Linked DNA regions of Sus scrofa. The protein of the gene in region 4 interacts with the protein of the main gene of each other region in a pairwise test. Links are inferred from orthologs where the notes say so. Each region holds a gene or a part of one and is shown on either strand. Other genes may lie near its edges.

Region 1 (3,500 bases), on a different chromosome or scaffold from region 4:
CCCATAAGCCTTGAACCCATGGCCTGAGGTGCACCTGGTACACAGAAAATTCCAATAACTTTTTGCAGAGTAATGTATGTACTTATAGAATCACTCTCCCCATTGGAGATTTTGAGAAGTCTAAATCGGTTTGACCATTTTGATTGATGGCACAATCTGGTTTAGAAAACTTTGTTTAGATCAGTAACATAACCTGCTACCTGTGCCTGCCCTTCCCCTCCCTTGTCCCATCCCCCTCTTCCCTTTCTGGTGTCTATACTTTGATGAAGGTGAGGTATGATGTTGGTTAACATAATCCAGAAGGCTTAGTTCTGTGTGTGTTCTGTCCCTATATAAATAGTTTAAAAGTTATGCAGAATGTTAACATAAGTATAAATTGGAGTTGGTGCTGCTGTTGATTCAAGGAAAAACTGAACTAGAATTTCTCTTTTTTAAGAAACGTTACTTCAAAATTAAATACATTAAAAAATTGATCTTTAATTCTTATATTGGCAAATCTGTTTACTGTTGAACAACACTGGCTTAAAATACTGCTTTGCATATTCTGCATAACTTAAAAAGTCTGGTGAAATCTTTATTGGAAGAAACAGTCATTTTACAACATGGAAAAATTTATGAATAACTTAGTAAAAAGTAAATTTAATCTTTTGATTAAATGAAGAATGTCATTCCATTATAAAGGTTTCACTTCTTTATGGATGTTTTAAATAGATGTAGACACTTGAAATTACTATCATCACGTCTCCAATCACCTAGAATTCTTAGTGTTTTTCGATTACAAAACCAATTTCAAGTTTATTCATCTTAATTCTTCAGAAGTAATAATTCTACTAATTTTACTACTTTGTTAGTAGAGGGGTTCCCTCCTTGTGGGTGGAGAAGTCTTTCCTGAAGCCATAGAAAAAATCATGGCTTTCCCCATAGGTTTTTCAACAGACTGTGAAGCAGTCGGTTGGATCCTTTGGGGCAGGACAAGGGCCTTCCCCTCTCCTCTTTTTTTATTGTGGTGTGGTGATGGTTTTCAGTGTCTTCTGCAGGTAAGGCACTCAATGTTGTTAACATGCCCTTTTTCATTGCCTCAGTATTTTGATATTTTCATTGGCTGTTAAACGTGGAAACTTTTTAACATGCTTTGTCGCATTTATATGCTACAGGTTACAAAGTGAGAGCCTTGTATACACTTCAATACTTAAAAAGTACCCGTACTCAGTACTCAGCCGGCAGCATAATGAAAAGTGGGACTAGACACGGTGTCCATATGGAGAGGAAAAATATACATAGAATATTTTTAACAAAATGTATTCATTGTATAAATGGAATCCTTCTGTAACTTTGGTAACTGCATACTTGTTGTTTGGTAATGAACCAGAGGAGGTATAATACTCTAGAATTGTGTAACATTAAAGTGTAAACTTTTGTGTTTAAAGAGAGAGAACATTTTATGGTGTGTACTTTTAAAAAGGAAACAAAGCTGCATGCAACAGCTTGAAATTGTATATTCAGGTATTAAAGGTGCAATACTGGTTAGAAAAAAGCTCAGGGCCTCCCACTGAGGAGCTGCCTTTATTTAATTTTACTTAATTTTAAAGAAAAACCAAAAAGGCCCGATTCGTATCTCTTCCCCCTTCCTTTAAATACATAAGGCAGTGATTTTATACTGCCATTGTCATTGTTCTCAACTGAAATGTCTATAAAGTTGCACCCCCAGTCTGTGAAGCCTTGGTATTTGTTGTACATTCTCCTTTCACAGCGATTGTTAAACCCATTAGTGCCCTGAAGTGTATGGCTTTATGCTGAAGATCTGCTGGATGCGTCCTCTGGTGTGTGTTGTAGGCCTTTACTGTGGTGTCTCCTGCTTTATTATACTGTGACTTGTTAGGAAGCCCAGGGCCTCACTTGGCTCTCCCTTGGGAGAGGTGAGGGTGCACCTTTATGAACATGGAAAGGTTCATCACAGCAGTTGCCCCAGCTTGCTACTCCTCTCCACACCAAGCTTTCCCTGTTTTTCAGCTGATGGGGTGGGTGTTTGGGATGTATTTTTCCCCCAATTTGCCATGTATTGCACTATTAATACCAGCCCCCGAAATGAAAGGAGCCAACCACACTGGTGTGTACAATCAGACAAGCAAGGTTGTATATAAAGGAAATTTGAGCAAGCTGCCCTGAAGAAAGGCATAGTGACAAGATGAGAGAGATGCATTGTTTGGAGATGTGTTAGCCAGTGCCCTTCTTCCCCACGAGCCCCCCCAAGGCTCAGAGCGGTACTGGCTTTTAAAGGGAAAGGCCTTCATTTCTTCGTTTATCCCCCCAGCAGCGCTGGAGAGCGAGGTGGCTTCAATAAGCCTGGTGGTAAGTTTTTGAGTATTACCATGGATAGTGTTAAAAAAAATACAGTCAGTTTTTAGAAAACTATAATTTTTTGTTAGTTTCATAAGCGGTTTAAAAATGATCTATACAAAAGAGACTAATGGGTACTGCCGGCATTGTCTTAGGGGTAATAAGGTTAACCTATGGTTACAAAACAAAGGGTAACTTGAAGTATTGAGCAACTGCTTCTGTAATATGGGGGAGAGTACATTTTTTTAAATTTGGTTTATTTGGAGGAAAAAAATTGATTTAAATTTAACACTAATTTGGCACATAAGCATTGCGAGTGTATTTGGTTAATGGTTTAAAAGCAAACCCTAGCAAACCTTTCACAGATGTTAAAGGGGCACTGCTCCATTTTAGCAGTGCGGGTCATTTTGAATTTAATGAAGCCCCATCAAATGGTGGTATAGTAGATAGTTATGTGTGTTTGTAAGGTTTGTAGCTTGCAAGACGTGCACTAATAATATTTTATATGATCTTTCCTGGTTGGCAGGACCCATGGATGAAGGACCAGATCTTGATTTAGGTAATTTTGAATTCCTGAATATTACATTGTGCGTTATAAACACATAGCACAAAAGTAAGTGCAGGTTTAAGTTCAGCAGCCTGGTAGATCATTGTGATATTCTTGCTGTCAGAGATGGTTTGGGGCTTCCTTTATCTTGAGTTACTACTCGTAATAACCTTAAAAAACAGCAGAGTAAAAAGAGTAAACCAAAAGTTCCTCGGCATCCTTGTTAGTATGGTTGGTAGTTCTCTTAGCTTTGTGGTGAATACCAGTGGGCAGTAGTGACCAGTTGGTTAATAAACCTCTGTGATACAGGGCAATAACTCCTTCTGTCTACTTTTCTCTGGAAGGCCCGCCTGTAGATCCAGATGAAGACTCTGACAACAGTGCAATTTATGTGCAAGGATTAAATGACAATGTGACTCTAGATGATCTGGCGGACTTCTTTAAGCAGTGTGGAGTTGTGAAGGTAAGTAAAAGCATAACCTTGTGATCTGGCAGATCTTCCAGCCACAGAATATAAAAGAATTGACTTGAGTTTCTGGAGTTGTTTGACTTTTCCTTTTGGGCCATCCATATTGTGATTTGCTCCTTAAAATAACAGTAACAACAAAAAAAGTCA
Region 2 (3,500 bases), on a different chromosome or scaffold from region 4:
ACGGGAGGCCATGGGGCTCAGGCTCTGGCATTTCCCCAAAACTCATGGTCTTTAAGAACTGGTCAGGCCAAAGCACACAGTCCAAACTACCTCCAAGTAAAGTTCTTTTTTTTTTTTTAATTTTTAAAAATTTTCTTATTTTTATTTATCTTTTTTTCCCCTTTTTCGGGCCACACCTGAAGCATATGGAAGTTCCCAGCTAGGGGCTGAATAGGAGCTGCAGCTGCTGGCCTACACCACAGCCACAGCAACACCAGATTCAAGCTGCATCTGTAACCTACGCTGCAGCTTCTAGCAACACTGGATCCTTAACCCATTGAGTGAGGCCAGGGATCAAACCTGCATCCTCATGGACACTATGTCAAGTTCTTAACCTGCTGAGCCACAATGGGAATGCCAATCTTTTTTTTTTTTTTTTTTTTAAATGGCTGCATCGCAGCATATGGAGTTTCCAGGCCAGAGACTGACTCTGAGCCACTGCAACTGGATCCTTAACCCACTGCGCCACAGCAGGAACTCCCATGCAATTTCATCTTTAATTATTTCATAACTGTAAGGATGCTGATACCTAAGGATAAAATCTCTCAAATTATAAGACCATTAAGAAAAACTGGGGTATTTGGAGTTTTAAAGCACATGACATGGGAGTTCCATTATGGCTCAGTGGTAAGGAACCCAATTAGTATTCATGAGGACACGGGTTCAATCCCTGGCCTTGGTCAGTGGGTTAAGGATTGGTGTTGCTGTGAGCTGTGGTGTAGGTCGCAGACAAGGATTGGATCCTGAGTTGCTGTGGCTGTGGTGTAGGCTGGCAGATGAAGCTCTGATTTGACCCCTAGCCTGGGAACTTCCATATGCCACAAGTGAGGCCTTAAAAACAAAACAAACAAACAAAAAAGCACATGACATGGATATACTTCTGAAAAGTGGGGTCAAGCTCACTTTTTAGTTGGAAGCACCCTCTTTCTGGGAATGCCAGCTTTGGCTTTGTTCTGTCAACTTCACCCACTCCATCCCTTTGGCCCCTAAAGACCTCAGAATGAGGAAACCAAAGAAAGGGTATCTATCCAGCATCCTCCAACGGCACAGTCTGCTGACCTTTATCACCTGGGCACTAAGCAACAATATCAAGCAAAGAGAAGAGCTAACCTCGTACTTGGGAGCCTCAATCCATGAGTCTAGCTGAAAAGAGAAAGACAGTCCTCTGAAGTTGAGATGGAAGAGCTGCTCAGCAGAGTTGTACACTGTGGGAGTGAGAAGAAAATGACATGGATGAGTGGCATCAGAAGTTGCAAACACAAACCAGTCTGGCAGGAAGTAATGACTAGCAACACCTTCCTTGTGTCTCCTTTCTGAATTGACCTACTAGGAGAAAACAAGGGGCAGGTGCTTTCCTTCACAAGGACCAACCCCCACATCCTAGAGAAACGTGGCTTTGGGGGCTTGGGCTGGCACCATTTGCCAGGTTTATTAATGTGGGCTGCTACAGATGACCAGAGGAATCAGATGGACTTGGCTTACCTCCAGGATGGGTTGCACCAAAAGACTGGTCAATCTGCTCAATGGTGGGAGCTATGGCTTGAGAATTGAAATGCACGCCACTGAAAAACAAAGATACTTTTTAACACCAGGCTGTGCACGATGGGCTCACAGATCACTGGAGACGGTGGCTGGAAGACTTACTCTTAAAACACAGGTAGGTAAGCCTACAATTATACCAAAATAAAAGTTTAGCTATAGGATTTTCTTTTTTTTCTTTTTTCTTTTTGTCTTTTTGCCATTTCTTGGGCCGCTCCTGTGGCACATGGAGGTTCCCAGGCTAGGGGTCGAATCAGAGCTGTAGCCGCCGGCCTACGCCAGAGCCACAGCAACGTGGGATCCGAGCCGTGTCTGCAACGAACACCACAGATCACGGCAACGCCAGATCCTCAACCCACTGAACAAGGCCAGGGATCGAACCCACAACCTCATGGTTCCTAGTCGGATTCATTAACCACTGAGCCACGTCGGGAACTCCAGCTATAGGATTTTCTTTCTTTCTTTTTTTTTTTTTGCTTTTGAGGGCCATCCCTGGGGCATATGGAGGTTCCCAGGCTAGGGGTCTAATCAGGGCTACAGCTGCCAGTCTACACCACAGCCACAGCAATGCCAGATCCAACCTACACCATAGCTCACGGCAACGCCAGACCTTTAACCCACTGAGCGAGGCCAGCGAAGGAACCCGTGACCTCATGGTTCCTAGTTGGATTCATTTCTGCTGCACCATGATGGGAACTCCTAGCTATAGGATTTTTAAATAAGGGACAATTAATGAGGTCAGAAATAGTCAACTCTCCCAAGGATGATACAGAGAATTAGTCCCCTAGGTCCTCCTAAGAGGACTGTGGCCACCAGGCCCAGTTCAGAAGGAAATATATCTGGCTTCAGCCCCATGGCATTTGGACTTGGATCAAGAGTGGTCACAGAAATACACAGTGTGGGGACTTCCCATAGTGGCACAGTAGGTTAAGAATCTGACCGTAGTGGCTTGGGTCACTGAAGAAACACAGGTTTAATCCCCGTCCCGGTGCAAGTCGGTTAAGAATCCAGCATTGCCATAGCTGTGGTTTAAGTCACAGCTGCAGCGTGGATTCAGTCCCTGGCCTGGGAACTTCCATATGCTGCAGGTGTGGTCATTAAAAAAACAAAACAAAACAGTGAACAGTATTAAGGTGGTTTCCCAGGATGTCAACTAGTAGTTTAGCTACACCTTCTTAAAAAGGGATCAATGTCTTAAAAGAAGGGTAGAGGCAAGCAAGGCAGCTTGTCTTCCTAACAGGCAGAAGAGCCAGCACTCATGGACTTGGGGAACAGGTATGCAGATGGGAAGGAACGGATCCCAATCAAAGGAAAAACATCTTGGAGGGAGGTGGGCTTGGGAGCAAAGAGAGGCATATGATTTCAGATGATGAGTTCAAAGATAAGTCATTTTTAACTTTAAGGATATGGTTGATTATTATTATTTTGCTTCTTAGGGCGGCACTAGCAGCATATGATGGTTCCCAGGCTAGGGGTCGAACTGGAGCTAGAGCTGCTGGCCTAAGCCACAGCCACAGCAACAGGGGATCCAAGCTGCCTCTGCAACCTGTACTACAGCTCACTGCAACGCAGGATCCTTTACCCACTGAGTGAGACCAGGGATCGAACCCACAACCTCATGGTTTCTAGTTGGATTCCTTTCTACTATGCCACAACAGGAACTCGTTAAGGATAATGTCTAAAGGTTAAGTATAATTTTTTAAATATAATTTATAGAGCACCTGTTTTTAACCAAGCACTGTGCTATGTGCTTTACCAGCATTATCTCACGTAATCTTCCTAACCCAGCAACCACATTATTGGTTTTATTTCTCTGATGAGAAAACAAGCTCACAGAAATTAAGTGATTTTTCCAATTTCAGAGAGTAATAAAATGAAGCCATTACTCAAAGCCAGGGCAGCCTGATTCTAGACCCCTTGCT
Region 3 (3,500 bases), on a different chromosome or scaffold from region 4:
ATTTTCAAGTAACAAATTTGTATTAGTGTTACATTTGTTTGTAGCTTTCAGAGATCATGTCATAATGTAATATTTTGTCATAATGCATTATTTTACTTTGTAATATATTTAGCCCAAAGCAGTGACAACACCAGCACCGGCTACAACTCAGCAATCAAATTCTGCCACCACTACCACAGTTAGTTCCTCCACAGCACCAGCTGCGGCTCAGGCCCCAACCCCAGCCCCTGCTTTGGCTCCTACTCCCACTCCTGCATCCATCACCCCAGCATCAACGACAGCATCTTCTGAACCTGCACCTGCTAGTGCAACGAAACAAGAGAAACCTGCAGAAAAGCCAGCAGAAACACCAGTGGCTACTAGCCCAACATCAACTGACAGGTAAGAACTGGGTGTTAGGAAGTTGTATCTTGGAATATGTTCAGTATAAGAACTTCATGAATTTATTTTGATTGTTTTTTTTTTTTTTTTTTTTTTTTTTGGTCAAACTAACTTTCTGTCTACTATGTTAAACATTTTCTAAACTCTGAACTCCTGACTGACTAAAACATTATGCCTCTGTTTAAATTTCCATAATCTAGATTTATATACTCTGCATCATTTCCCCTGCCGCCCTCCCCCTGCCCCCTGGAGGGAAAAGAGAAAAAGGGTCAGAGTTGTTATTCATTTCATATACAAAAGTTAGGAAATGACCAAAAAAAGAAGTATATGAGTTCCCCTGTGCCTCAGTGGGTTAAGGATCCAGTGTTGTCACAGCAATAACATGTGTTCAGTCCCTGGCCTGGGAACTGCTGCATGCCACCAGTGTGGCCAAAAAAAGGAAAGAGGAATTATGACATTATATTATAGCTTGGCATAAATAACTTGACATCATCCCCCAGTCATTATTTATATTGATCTATATTATTTCTGACCATTGTCGTGTATATATATATATATATATATATATAAAATAAACATCCTTCTATGTCAGAATTTTTCCATCTGCTACATAGTTTTGTGTTTGGGGATGACATTTGTTAGATCTTAGGAAAGAAATTAATATCTTTGGATTTTCTTCTTCGTCTGTAAAATGTGGATATCAGCAGGACTTACTTCATGGAGTTGTTCTAAGGATTAAATAATAAGTATGAAAGATGTGAAGTAGCGCATGGCACACAGTAAATGCTGAGTATATTTTTTTGTGAACTTGTGTAGAAATTTATGTTTTTGCCCATGTAGCTCTTCAGAAACAAAAGAAAAAGTGCTGGGACATTTTGGGAACAAGAAATAAGTTCTTGTGGGAAGGTGGCAGTTAGGATTATTGAGTAATTTATGACAAAGATTTTTTCCCCCTAATGATAAATAAAATAACCAAAGCAAATGCTTCAGTTCTCCTGGCTGGAAATCGTACAGGGGAATCTCTTCTATCTGAGAGCATGAATTGTATTCTTTCCAGAGTGAGCTGGCACCGAAGCTGTTTGTGTTTTATGGCTTTGGTGTAGCACAGGACCTCAATGGCAGTAAAGTCCTGGAATCAGAACCAGACATAGTGGAAAACTATGCAGCAGTTGGAAACATGGACACAGAAGGATGTCTGTGATAAATACACCAATCAAAAAACTTCAGTCACGATCCTTCATTTTAGTGTTTTGCCTTTGAGTGAGGTTGCGTCAGCTTTGTTGAGAGGGGTTTGAGTCACCTGGTTCATTGCTCACTCAGGCCTCTTTTCAAGGAATTAATTGCCTAAGAGGAGAACACGGATTCAGGTGATAAAATATTTTCCCTGTGTCTGCCTGCTGCACTTTGCTTTAGGCATTCTGAGACACCATTGCCTAACTTGATACTTCTTGCAGGTACAGCTAGAAATGCACACAACACTAATTACCTAGGGGGAGACAACCCAGGGTCAGGTTATGCTATTACATCAAAAGGCTATTACATTTGTTCTGTGTCTGGGAGGGAACTTATAAATTTAGCAAATTGGTTTTCCAAATCATTTAAATATTGTAAACTTAATTAAATATGTCGAGTTGGTTCAGTATATCTTCTTTTCTTTAAGCTCCTGTTAAAAACCTCATATCATGAGAATTCCTGAATTGATCAATACCTTTTAATGTGCTAATAGCATCAATTCGGTTATCATCTCTTATTTCTTATTGAGGGTTCAGTTTTATTTACCTGTTCTCAAGCATCATGAACCTTTTCAGACCTATAGAGGTTGCATAAGGGAGTTGATGATCAGGAAAGCAGACTGCAGAGTTGCCTCCTTACTTGAGCTTTGTACACCATCCCTTTACTCTTATTCCCCAGAGTTATACACCTCAGAGAAGGATAGCACAGGAAGGGAAGGATGAAGGAAGCTCAGAAAACTAGCTGCTTAAATGTACCTTAGTCACTTCATTTGTGCTGTAAAACATTTAATGTCTTGTAAAGCACAGAACTCAATGAGACATGCCAATGTGAATTTGAGGAGTGTCAAGAAGTTTTTTTTACCACCTGGCCTGACATTTCATTGTTAGGGATTTGTTTCTCTAGGTCAGTTTTGTCTTTAAAAACCACCTATTACAATGCAGATTTCACTTGTTGATATCTGTGTTAGAGAAACTGCACTTTTTTGCACTAGGGCTGTATTGTTTGTAATTGAAGACAAATTGGAATCAACCTAAAGATCCACTAATAAGGGAATGGCTTGATTTTGTGATTTGTTCATATTGGGGAATTGTGCTATTATTCATAGTGTGGTAGTAAACAAACAGTATCAACATCACAGGGAGTTTGATGTTTGAAATTAATTCTTAGGCTCCCTAGAATTATCTGGGGTAGGTCCCAGAAGTCTGAATTTTAACAATCTCTCTTGGTGAATTCTTAAGCTTTCTAAAGTTTGAAGAGCTCTGATATCCAGTAATAGAAGGCAGTTAAAGTATGCAGTACATATTTCAAGGCTTTGTTACCAAGTGAAAAAAGCAGATTTGCAGAACAATACAGGCAGTAACCCTAAACCAAACAAAAGCCACATAACATCATTGCATATTTTCTGTGGTTAAGCATATTAATATGTAGAAAAACAGTAGCAGAGGGACAGCACACTAACTGATAAAGTGGTTTCCTCCGCGGACAGGGAAGGGAGAAGTATTGAGGCAAAAGAATCAAGATTGAAGAATGGTGGTTAAACATCATTTCAGTCTTATCTGTAATGTTTTAAAAGAAATTCTAAAACAAAGTGCAAAAATAGCACAAATTTTCTATAAAAGAACAGTAATGAAGGGGACTATTTCTGTGAGATAGAATTAATTATTAGTACTATACATGGTGATGATTACAACTTAGAATGGCTTTTGGAGTTCCCGTCATGGCGCAGTGGTTAACGAATCCGACTAGGAATCATGAGGTTGCGGGTTCGGTCCCTGCCCTTGCTCAGTGGGTTAATGATCCGGCATTGCCGTGAGCTGTGGTGTAGGTTGCAGACGCGGCTCGGATCCCACGTTGCTGTGGCTCTGGCGTAGGCCAATGGCTACAGC
Region 4 (3,500 bases):
TAGTCATTCTGTGAGCTGGCTCTTCCCATTTTTCAGATGAAGAAAGTGAGGCTCAGGGCCTTTAAGTGGATCACCCACTAGTAAGTGTAAGAATCATTATTTGAGGACGTCCCTGGTGTTTCAGTGGGTTAGGGGTCTGGTGTTGTCATTGTTTGTGGCTCTAGCTCGGGTTTGATCCCTGGATGCAGGCATGGCCAAAAAACAAAGGATCATTATTTACACCCAGGTCTTCCTGATTCCTTGGTTTGTGTTCTTCCCACTCTTCTGTGCTGCCTCTCTGTCTGCTGTCATTTTTAATCAATTTTTAATCACTTGCTAGCTGTCTCAGTTTGCTTTTGCCTTTTTCTTTAGGTTATTCTATATTCGTCGTTAAGGGTGACCTGCCAGACTGTGAAGCTGACCAACTCCTGCAGATGATCAGGGTCCAGCAGATGCAGCGACCAAAACTTATTGGAGAAGAATTAGCACAATTAAAAGAACAGAGGTAAAATGAAGCCTGCAGTGTGGAATATATGACAGTGTTTCATTACAAGGATTAAATTTTCATGCTTACATTGAAGGTGTGGTCCTCTTATTATTGGCGATTTTTTTTTTAGACCCTTATGTTTTAGTGAAGTTTATTGATTTAAACTTGGATCAACACTTTGAATTACTTAAATGTACTAACTAGAGTCACATCACAATACAACCTGTATATTATTAGACCTTATCTGCCAGAAAATGTGTAAGTTTTGACTTACATGAAAGTCTTTGGTGTATAGGTGTCTTTATGTTATATCTAAAATGGAAGACTGGTCTGCAGTTACTATTAGTGCCTTTATTCTTTAGGGTCCAGAAAACCGATCTGGAACGAGTCTTAGAAGCAAATGACGGGTCGGGAATGTTAGACGAAGATGAGGAGGATTTGCAGCGGGCTCTGGCCCTAAGTCGCCAGGAAATCGACATGGAAGATGAAGAGGCAGATCTCCGCAGGGCTATTCAGCTCAGTATGCAAGGTAAGGCTCTTCTGCCGCGCCTTCTATTTGTCGTTGAAGCGATTCAGCCCATCCTTCGTTCTTCTGGAAGTTAATGTACTCTTGGCAGAAGTTCTCTGACAAACCCTGCTGAAGCAATAGCTGGGTCAAATCAGTTATTTTTTAGATTTCTTTTAATGCAAGTAACCTTTTACAACCTGTGTTATATTAGGACTGGTTATACTTTTATTTCTAGTTATTCCATCTGGTTATAATACTGTGCTAACACAATAATGAACAGATTAGTTATTGTGAGGTCAGTGGACCCTTACCCAGACCAGCTGTTTTACAAATCTATACTATTAGGAATTCTCTTATGGTGCAGGGGGTTAAAGATGCAGCATTGTCACTGCAGCGGGTTGGATCACTGTTGTGGCTTAGGTTCAAACCCTGGCCTGGGAATTTCCATATACCATGGGCGCAGCCAAAAAAGAAAAAGAAATATGTGTGCTTAAGGACATGAAAAAAGGCCTGGGCAGAGAATATAAATCAGTTTTACAAAACTCTACCCCTTACTGGCTGTGCCACTTACAGCTTAAGCCCACTTTGAGGGGCCACATTTTAGCCGTTTACGCCCATCCGCTGAGAGTGCCCATCCTCCCCGGGGAGTCCAGGCGGAGGGCGATGTCCGGGACGTTGCTCGGAGGGGCTTTTTTTAAAGTGTGAGGGGTTTGCTTTTTTGAGGAGTTTTGTCTTTATCTAGTTATTATGAATTTATCTTCTACTTTCTAATGAAATTACTCAATCGAATTCCTTAAATATCTAAATAAAACTGAGTTTCTGCTCATATGAAGATTATCCTTTTTATGCTTTTTTTTTTTGTTTCTGGGGTTTTTTGGTTTTTTGTTTGTTTGTTTGTGTTTTGCCTTTTTACGGCCACACTCTCAGCATATGGAAGTTTGAGAATTGGAGCTACAGCTGCCGGCCACAACCACGGCCACAGCAATGTGGGATCCGAACCCTGTCTGCGACCTACACCACAGCTCATGGCAATGCCTGATTCCCGACCCACTGAATGAGGTCGGAGATCGAAGCGAAGCTGCACTCGGATTCATTGCTGCTGCTCACGAAGGGAACTCTTTTTTTTTTTTTTTTTTGGACTGAACCCATGGCATGTGGAATATGTGGAATTTCCTAGGCCAACAATCGAGTTCACGCCACAGTAATGGTTCTAGCCACTGAAGTGGCAATAGCAGAACCTTAACCTGCTGTACCGCAGGAGAACTCCTTTTTTTTTTTTTTTTTTTTTTTTTTGGCTCTTTAGGACCACACCCCTAGCATATGGAGGTTCCCAGGCTAGGGGTTGAATCAGAGCTGTAGCCACTGGCCCATACCAGAGCCACAGCAACACCAGATCCGAGCCTTGTCTGCAACCTACATCACAACTCATGGCAATGCCGGATCCTTAACCCATCCAGGGATCAAACCTGCGTCCTCATGGATACCAGTCAGATTCGTTTCCACTGAGCCATGACGGGAGCTCTAAGAAGTCCTTTTTATGCTGTACTTTATCCTGAACTGCCCATGCCTCCTGGCACACCTCACAGTATTCCATCCAGTGTGGAGGCCCATTTCAAATTGGTAGAGCCCTCCTAGATTAGCTCAGTGATGGACAGACACAGCTTTAATAGTTTTTGACATTTTTTGTGTGCTTTGCTCTTCTTCCCACTTTATTTCACAATTGTGCAGAATAGCTGCTTGGTGCTGTAATTCAGTAACATACCTCACGTGTTTAGTACCCACAGGTTTGAGCATAGAGGAATACAGAGAATGGGTTTGTTTTATGATCATGCTCTTTAAGGTACTTCTAGAAATTCCATGCCTTTGAAAGTATAGGAGCTCCTGTTATGGCGCAGCAGTAACAAACCTGACTAGTATCCATGAGAATCCGGGTTCAATCCCTGGCCACACACGGATCCACTGTTGCCATGAGCTACAGTGTAGGTCGCAGATGTGGCTCAGATCCTGTGTTGCTGTGGCTGTGGTGTAGGCCTGCAGCTGTAGCTCTGATTCAATCCCTAGCCTTAAAAAGAGGTGCAGCTGTGGTGGTAATGATTTTTCCTACCGAGTTGGTCTTTGGCTCCATCCTTACCGCTGCATCACAGATTGGGAAGAGCTTTGGTTGCAGTGGACACAGGTTAAATTGGAACTACCTTATCCAGATCTTCCCTGAGACTTTAGAGCCTTTCTTCTATTTACAAGATAGTAGCAGAATATTTTGGGGAAGGCAATTTTTCAAAAAGCTTCTTCACATAAATATAAACATATCACTGCTTGACTTGGTAAATAAAATTGTTTTTTTTTTCCCCATTTTATTCACAGGTACTTCCAGAAACATATCTCAAGATATTCCACAGACATCAGGTACACATCTTACTTCAGAAGAGCTGCGGAAGAGAAGAGAAGCCTACTTTGAAAAGTAAAGTAGTTGGTACAATATTAAAATTGCATATTTAATGTTTACTTGGGCTATTTTGTCTGTTTGTG
Region 5 (3,500 bases), on a different chromosome or scaffold from region 4:
TTTTAATATTTTTAAAAATTTTTGACCAGTTAAATATTCTGCCAGGTGAATGCAAACAGGACACAGGAGATCACACTCCCCCCACTAGAGACCTATTGTCGGGGGTGCCTAGGTAGCTCCTTGCATGTGTTTGGTTTGTCTGTTCTCAGATGGAGTTTGATGAGAAGGACTTAAGACGGGAGATCAGCTATGCCATTAAGAACATCCATGGAGTCAGGCAAGTTCCATTCATGAGTCACCATGTTCCCATCATTTCCATGGTGCCACCCTGCAGCCAGTCAGTGCCCCCCCAAACCTCTGGGTGCCCCGATTGATTGTGAGACCTGGAAAGGGCTCCAGAGTGATTTGCAGTAGCTGTCAGTCTCTCCCTCTGGTCTCCAAGTTCACTCAAGTGTGTATGTGAGTAGTTCTGTGTGGATCTCTTGTATCCCCTTGGGCTGTCCACTGCTCTTGGGTTAAACATTGGTTAAACCTCCCAGTCACTGTGGTCAGGAAGTAAGAAAACTCACTGCAGATTTGCCCTGGGGGGCGGGGAATGGAAGGGAGCTGAGTCACTATTACAGGAACCCACCGGTGCCCCATGAGCCTCCTGGGTCCCCACCCTGTTCCGGCAAAAATCATGGCTCCCGGCCTCCAGTCTCTTGTTGCCAAGGGGTCCTCAGATCACCCCGGGGGGTTCCAGGTAGTGGATGCAAGCGTCTGACCCCCCCAGACTTGCTGTGACCTTGGCTTTCTCGGGAACCGGCCTGTGCCTGTGAAATTGCTGACCGTGCTTTGTTTCTCTCTGACTTATCTCCCCTGCCCCCGGGTACGGATGGTTTTAGGACCGGGCTCTTCACCCCGGACTTGGCATTCGAGGCCATTGTGAAAAAGCAGGTCGTCAAGCTGAAAGAGCCCTGTCTGAAATGTGTCGACCTGGTTATCCAGGAGCTAATCAATACAGTTAGGCAGTGTACCAGTAAGGTATTGGACCCTCGGCAGGGTGACTCCTGGCCTTGTGGAAACGGGGCTACGGGGGTTTGGTATCAGGCTCCCAGTGCTGCTTGGCCTTTGCCCTGCTGGTCCCCTCACCTCTCCTTCCCAGATTGCCTCGGTGTCCAAGAACGTGGCCTCTTCCCAGAGGCTGGGGCGGGCGCGTTTCGGCCTGGGTGCAACCGGGGGTGCCAGACCTCCAGATTCCAGACTGGTGGGCAGGGCGCCCTGGGACCTTGATACCAAGCTTAGCATGTATTGGATGGGGGTTTCGTCGCGCTGTCGCTTTGCTGTCTTCTGGGTAGCAGAGAGGGACCTTGTGTCACCTCCTGGAGGCCAAGCTCCCTACACCTCCCTGCCCATCACCCCTTCTTGACAAAGGTGTGGTGCTTTAAGCACTCCCCAGTCAGCCACTTCTCTGTCCCCGAGGCGCCGAGAAAGCCCGAATGCCAACAGCATAATGAGTGCTCTGTCTGGCTTGGCCCCTAATGGCCTCTGCCAGCTCCCCAGCACCGCCCCAGGGGCAGGGTTGTCCCCCTAGGCAGCCCGTCCTCTGATTCCCCTAGGTCACAGTCACCTGTGTGCCAGTGTTCACAGGCCACTGCCTCCACATGGCAGGACATACCAGCTTCCCCGCGGGCCTGGCTCCCAGGGCAGCACGCTTTGGCCGAGCAGCTGAAGTGCTTCCCAGCGGGCGGTCTATGCTTGCACATCCACCATGGCCGTAGAGCTCTGGGTCAGCCTTCCAAGGCCAGAATTTCTGCTTTGATCCTTCTGTACTCAGTCTGGAAAAGCCCACATTTGCTTCTTAAGCTTCTTCGATTGGAAGAGGGAGGGGAAAGAAACCCAGATGGTTTGGACATTATCGTCACATATAAGAAAATTCAAGGCCTCCCTATATCCATACCTGTTCGGTATGCCCACTCTGACCCATGGCACTTGTGTAATTAAAGCCCAGACCATGCCCACCCCTCAGACCCAGGACGCCTCTTGATCCAAAGCAGCTTCCGGGGCAAATGCGGGCACAGGCTCCTCCGTGCATGTCACTAACCAGCTGACTCTCGTTTCTTCTCTCTCTGTCTCCTGTCCCGCGTGTGTGGCCTGCACTGCCCCTGGGTGTCTCTCTGCCTCATCCCGCCCTCCGCATGACCCAGGACGGGGCTCTTCACCCCCGACATGGCCTTTGAAGCCATTGTGAAAAAACAGATTGTAAAACTCAAAGAGCCAAGTTTGAAGTGTGTTGATCTCGTGGTTTCAGAACTGGCCACGGTCATTAAAAAGTGTGCCGAGAAGGTAACCAAAGATTTCATTATTATCACCTGTGTACTCATCCCCCACCTTCTTCTTCCCATTGTTAGTCTTAACCCCGAGCATCTGGGAAACTCTGCCTCGGCAGGAACCCCCTTCCGTGGGCCAGTGGTACTTGGTGACCTCAGCTTTGCCTCGGCAGTAATGGTGTGGAGGGCATGTCCCATGGCGCATGGGTTCCACTTTTGCAGGTTGGGCCTCGGATGGAGGTAGAAAGCCTTTGTGGCCAGATGCATTTACTAAGCAAGCAACAGGGGTGAGGGCCCGTGCCCATCCCTGGAAAAGTGGGTTTCCAAACTGTCACCAGTGTGGTGAAACACGTTGCCAGCACGAAGACCTGTGTGTTCTTTTTTTTTTAGACCTGTGTGTTCTTACATCATGGGGCCTTTAAGAGGTTTTCCCACAGGTGATTTTGACCATTGGCTCAATTTTCCCTGATTCGTGGCCTCTCCCCAAACCGTGGAAGGTGGGCTTCTGTGTGTTGGGTTTGGTTACCACTGCACAGGCTGGGAGCCCCCAGGGTGTCTGGAGGAATGAAGCCCAAAGTGAGGTGATGGGGAATTTTCTTCAAGGGGGTCCCTCTGAGGTAGATGGCCCAGATGCTGCCTCCATCCTAGAAGGGGCCCTGCGCCCTCCCCGCCCTGGTAGCCCAGCGGCTTTCATTAAACTGTCCTGGCTCTCACCCAGCTGCTGCGTAGGAGGGGGGTAGCCATCACCCGCTGTCTCTGCCGTTTTCCACCTCGAATTGCATTCTCGAAAAGCACTTCTGCTTGTGCGTGGGCACCCTCTCCATCTCTCCAGCCCGCCGTCCCCCCACCTTCCCCTCCTGGTCTCCCAGCCAGAGCGCCTGTGAGACAGGAGCCAGGTGGGGACTCGGTGGGCCCACCCCCTGTCACCCCACCCCTATGTTTTTCCCTTTGGCTCATGTTGCCTCCCAGCCAATGCCGCCACTCTGATTTCCCCCCAGCTCAGCTCCTACCCCCGGCTGCGAGAGGAGACGGAACGAATCGTCACCACTTACATCCGGGAACGGGAGGGGAGAACCAAGGACCAGGTACTGGCCTTTTGTCTTCTTCAGGTACAATTCATATACAGGAAATGTTGGCTGTGCAGTTCTGTGAGTTTTGACAAACGCATACAGCAGGGTAACCCCCACCTCTCTCAACATACGAAGCAGTTCTGTTACCCCTCCAAACTCTCATCTTTGTGCCCCTTTGTCA
Region 6 (4,287 bases), on a different chromosome or scaffold from region 4:
ATTGGTTATGCCCTCGCTGTGAACCTGCAAAAGGGGAGTCATTGGGTTGTTTCCTTCAGATATGACAAGGGTAGGGCAGTAGAAACACAAATTGGAACTACAGGGTTTTTCTGTTTCCTTCACTTGTGAAATTTCTTTTTTTCCTTTTCTTTTTTTTTTTAGGACCCTACCCCTGGCATATGGAGGTTCCCACGCTAGGGGTCAAAACAGAGCTCCAGCTGCCGGCCTACCCACACTCATAGCAACAGCAACCAGATCTGTGCCCTGTCTGCAACCTACATCACAGCTCCCAGAAATGGATCCCTAACCCACTGACTGAGACTAGGGATTGAACCCACAACCTCATGGATACTAGTAGGGTTTGTAACGTGCTGAGCCACAAGGGGACCTCCCAACTTATGACATTTCTGACTCTTTAATAACCAGTGGGCAACATTGTTTACTTTTCTTTCCCCCCTCGCTCCTCTCCTCCCTCTCTTCCTTCCTCTAACCCCTTCCTTTTTCTCCCATCCCCTTTTTTCTTTCAAAGCCTTTCTCTCCTCTTTCTCTAATTCTCCACACCTGCACACTTCTCACAACAATTGCGCTATGTTTCAGTGTTGCACTATACTCCCTCACTTTTAGTGATTTTCACCCCGGCCCTCTGAACTGCATCCCTAGAACTTAATGCCCGCACTGTGCCACCAGGAGGCTCAGACTCTCGATGGAGGGCAAAGGTCAATTGGGCGGTGCCTTTGATTGACGTCACTATGGGGGGAGGAGCTTTCCAAGCGTTAGTTACTGGCACTGCAGGGCCGTGGTCGGTCACAGAGAGCATTGTGCTGTCAGCGGTCCTGGCTGAGGTGAGTAGTCTTTGTAGGAGCGTCAGATGCAGGTTAGTTGGATGGGTTCTAACTAGCAAGAAGATGTGACCCGTTAGGTCAGCACCTTTTAAAGTGATCCTGAGGCGACAGTTTTGAACTATGGCGCTGACTCTCGGATGAAGGAAGGTGGGCGAAGGCAGGATTTTTGGACTTGGATGAAGTATGGGGGAGCGTTGCGGGATCACTGAAAACGGAATATGATAGATGCTGTAGTTTGGATTTGAAGGACCTAAAATCGGTTGAAGGCTGACGGTTGGTGACTGTGGGGGCGGGGAGCTGAGGCGCTAGGCAGGTCTGTGAGAGCGGGAAAAAGGAGTGTCAGTGATTGGTTGCTTTGAACGTATGGACCAGGCGGTCCAATCACAGGGTACCCCAAGTCCCGATTTTCGTGTTGCCGGGCAGATTGTCCTAAGAAGAGACTTGGGATGAAAATTTCCTCTAGCCCGGGTTCATGTGGCCGGGCAACCTGGTCCTGCCTCTCATAACTGCTTTTTTCTTGGGTTTTAAAATTTTCACAGCATTTTTTCTTTTGGTTAACAAGTAATAAGAAAAAATTGAAATTTATTGAGAAACTGGAAGATGAGTTACAGAATATTAAAGTATTTTCTTATTTCATAGGCCTGACCGAGAGATATTAAAAATGGACGATATTGATTTTCGTTTCATGGACTTTAAAGGTATATAGCTTATATATGGTAGAAAATGTCAATCTGTTTGCTGACTTATGTAAGATCTTCTAAATGAATTTCCTTGCCTAATTTTATCTTTCTGGAATATCTATAAAACCAGTTTTTCTCATTTTGGTACCAGAAAACAGGGTGGATGTTTAAGACGCTGGAGCCCTTTTATAAGTTAGTGTAGGGAAATAGAATTCATAATAATTCACAATTCATAGCTTATTTTCTTTGGATTTTTATGGCATGCAAAGTGACACTGGATTAATTTGACATAGAAATTTATTGTGTTAAAAATACATTAAAAATTACTGTTAGGTCCTGAAGTGCCTTTCCATAATCATCAGTAAAAAATAAATTAGGAGTTCCCTGGTAGCTCAGTGGGTTAAGGATCTGGCATTGTCACTGCTGTGGCTTGGGTTGCTGCTGTGGCACCCGTTCCATCCCTGGCCCTGGAACTTCTGCATGCCTTGGGCGTGGCCAAAATAAATTGAAGTATAGTTGATTTACAATGTTGTGTTAGTTTCAGATGTATAGTACAGTGGCTCATATATATGTAGTATATATATGTATATATATGTAGTATCTTAATTCTTTTGAAAATTAGTATTCTATGTATGAATTCTTAGTAAACAAAAGTTATTTGATTGACTAGAACACCAGATTCCTTAACCATGCCAGGTATGGGAGAGTTTATCACATTTCATTTTTTCTGGGGATATGATCAGATCTGATTTCATATAATAGTGAAATATGTTGTAACCAAGGTGGCTACAAATCTATGATTTCAGAAAGTTTAGGTCAATAGTTTGTTAGCACTTGTCATTTTGAAGCAATAACAAAGCCCACTACCAGCTACCTTAAATTTTAATTTAGGTTATAGTATCTTAAAAATATAAATATTAAATAGAGATTATGACTTTTAAGTATATTTTTTTTAGACATTGTGTTTAAATAAATATTTGAAGCACAGAGAAAAGGAGAATAATATAATGAATACCTATGTAACTACCACTGAGTTTTGTTGAATCTTAATAGTTTTCCATATGCTTCAGATGTTTTGCTGTTCCAAAGAACTTAAAAGATTAATGTACCTGTTTTTCGTCTTTTAAAATATTGCATAAATTGTATCATTTTGTATGATTTTTATTTCCCCTGCAACTTGTGTTTTTTGCTCAGTATTATGTTTTGGATATTTACCCATGTGGATATTTTAGTTCTAGTTCATTTATTTACACTATTGATTAGCACTATTACATTTAATGTGAGTGTACCACAATTTATCCAATCTACTTTGTTGGATGTATGAGTTGTTTCAAATATTTGCTATTACAAACAACAGCATGACAACTAACACTATTTTGGAGAGTTTATCAAGAGCTTTCAAACATTTTGACCACCACCTATGGCAAGGAAATGTATTTTACATCACAGTATATCAAAAGTTTAATGAAATCATTTTAACCTTATTACATGCAGTGCACTATGATGTGTAATATTCTATACCTTTTCATTTTAAAAAATGTTACTTATGACTCACTAAATTATTTCTTGAGCACCAGTGTGTGAGGCTCTAGGGCAGTGCTGACCAATTGAAATGTAATGCAAACATAAATAATTTTATATTTTCTAGTACCACTTTAAAAAAGGTTAAATAGGGGAGTTCCTGTCATGGCTCAGTGGTGAACGAATCCAACTAGGAACCATGAGGTTGTGGGTTCGATCCCTGGCCTTGCTCAGTGGGTTAAGGATCTGGCGTTGCCGTAAGCTGTGGTGTAAGTTGAAGACGTGACTTGGATCTGGCGTTGCTGTGGCTCTGGTATAGGCTGGTGGCTACAGCTCCGATTTGACCCCTAGCCTGGGAACCTCCATATGCCATGGGTGCAGCCCTAGAAAAGACAAAAAAAAAAAAAAAAAAAAAGACAAAAATAAAAAATAGAAAAGGTTAAATAGGGAATTTCCCAGTGGCCTAGTGGTTAAGGATCCGATTGTCACTGCTTTGGTGCAGATTGGATCCCTGGCCTGGGAACTTCCATATGTTGAGGGTGTGGCCAAAAAAAGGAAGAAAAAAATTAATTTTAATAATATAAATTATTTAGCTAAGTATGTCTAAAATGTTATAATTTCAATACGTAATCAATATAAAATTATTAATGAAATATTTTACATTATTTGTTTTCTTTCTGTACAAAGTCTTTTAAGTCCGATATGTGTTTTATCCATCTATTTATTTATTTTTATGGCCGCACGTGCAGCATATGGAAATTCTCAGGCTAGGGGTCAAATTGGAGCTGCAACTGAGGCCTACGCCACAGCCACAGCCATACCAGATCTGAGCAGCATCTGCAACCTGTGCTGTAGCTTGTGGTAATGCCAGATCCTTAACCCACTGAGTGGGGCCAGTAGGGCCAGGGATTGAACCCGCATCCTCATAGAGACTGTATCAGGTCCTTAACCAGCTGAGCCACAATGGGAACTTCTGATATGTATTTTATACTTAAAGCATATCTCATTTTGGACTTGCCATGTTTCTTTTTTTTGGTCTGTACCCTTGGCATATGGAAGTTCCCTGGCCAGGGATTGAATCCCAGCTGCAGCTATGACCTACACTGTAGCTGTGGCAATGCCAGATCCTTAACCCACTGCACCAGGCCTGAGGGCAAACCTGTGCTGCCACAGAGACAACACTGGGTTCTTAAACTGCTGTGCCACAGTGAGAACTCCTGGACTTGCTTTTTTGTTTTTTGTTT

What was found.
Region 1: the proteins of ATXN3 (region 4) and EWSR1 interact in binary tests that used the Homo sapiens proteins (3 or more experiments, as listed by UniProt). The link is inferred for Sus scrofa from reciprocal best matches to the Homo sapiens genes ATXN3 and EWSR1.
Region 2: the proteins of ATXN3 (region 4) and C6H16orf70 interact in binary tests that used the Homo sapiens proteins (3 or more experiments, as listed by UniProt). The link is inferred for Sus scrofa from reciprocal best matches to the Homo sapiens genes ATXN3 and PHAF1.
Region 3: the proteins of ATXN3 (region 4) and RAD23B interact in a two-hybrid assay, tested with the Homo sapiens proteins (2 studies listed by BioGRID and IntAct). The link is inferred for Sus scrofa from reciprocal best matches to the Homo sapiens genes ATXN3 and RAD23B.
Region 5: the proteins of ATXN3 (region 4) and DNM2 interact in binary tests that used the Homo sapiens proteins (3 or more experiments, as listed by UniProt). The link is inferred for Sus scrofa from reciprocal best matches to the Homo sapiens genes ATXN3 and DNM2.
Region 6: the proteins of ATXN3 (region 4) and TEX11 interact in binary tests that used the Homo sapiens proteins (3 or more experiments, as listed by UniProt). The link is inferred for Sus scrofa from reciprocal best matches to the Homo sapiens genes ATXN3 and TEX11.

What each region holds. Positions count from the first base shown.
Region 1 is NC_010456.5:46,429,223-46,432,722, forward strand, and holds part of EWSR1 (RNA-binding protein EWS), read left to right. Parts: intron 1-2,311; coding exon 2,312-2,349; intron 2,350-2,863; coding exon 2,864-2,896; intron 2,897-3,228; coding exon 3,229-3,347; intron 3,348-3,500. UniProt on the Homo sapiens protein: Binds to ssRNA containing the consensus sequence 5'-AGGUAA-3'. Might normally function as a transcriptional repressor. EWS-fusion-proteins (EFPS) may play a role in the tumorigenic process.
Region 2 is NC_010448.4:27,778,076-27,781,575, reverse strand, and holds part of C6H16orf70 (UPF0183 protein C16orf70 homolog), read right to left. Parts: intron 1,602-3,500; coding exon 1,522-1,601; intron 1,245-1,521; coding exon 1,150-1,244; intron 1-1,149. UniProt on the Homo sapiens protein: Plays a regulatory role in autophagic activity. In complex with BCAS3, associates with the autophagosome formation site during both non-selective and selective autophagy.
Region 3 is NC_010443.5:248,468,491-248,471,990, forward strand, and holds part of RAD23B (UV excision repair protein RAD23 homolog B), read left to right. Parts: intron 1-112; coding exon 113-381; intron 382-3,500. UniProt on the Homo sapiens protein: Multiubiquitin chain receptor involved in modulation of proteasomal degradation. Binds to polyubiquitin chains.
Region 4 is NC_010449.5:113,625,273-113,628,772, reverse strand, and holds part of ATXN3 (ataxin-3), read left to right. Parts: intron 1-351; coding exon 352-484; intron 485-828; coding exon 829-995; intron 996-3,335; coding exon 3,336-3,432; intron 3,433-3,500. UniProt on the Homo sapiens protein: Deubiquitinating enzyme involved in protein homeostasis maintenance, transcription, cytoskeleton regulation, myogenesis and degradation of misfolded chaperone substrates.
Region 5 is NC_010444.4:69,540,012-69,543,511, forward strand, and holds part of DNM2 (dynamin-2), read left to right. Parts: intron 1-149; coding exon 150-217; intron 218-824; coding exon 825-963; intron 964-2,126; coding exon of another isoform or gene 2,127-2,265; intron 2,266-3,247; coding exon 3,248-3,334; intron 3,335-3,500. UniProt on the Homo sapiens protein: Catalyzes the hydrolysis of GTP and utilizes this energy to mediate vesicle scission at plasma membrane during endocytosis and filament remodeling at many actin structures during organization of the actin cytoskeleton.
Region 6 is NC_010461.5:56,922,305-56,926,591, reverse strand, and holds the start of TEX11 (testis-expressed protein 11), read left to right. Parts: upstream 1-1,487; 5' UTR 1,488-1,503; coding exon 1,504-1,540; intron 1,541-4,287. UniProt on the Homo sapiens protein: Regulator of crossing-over during meiosis. Involved in initiation and/or maintenance of chromosome synapsis and formation of crossovers.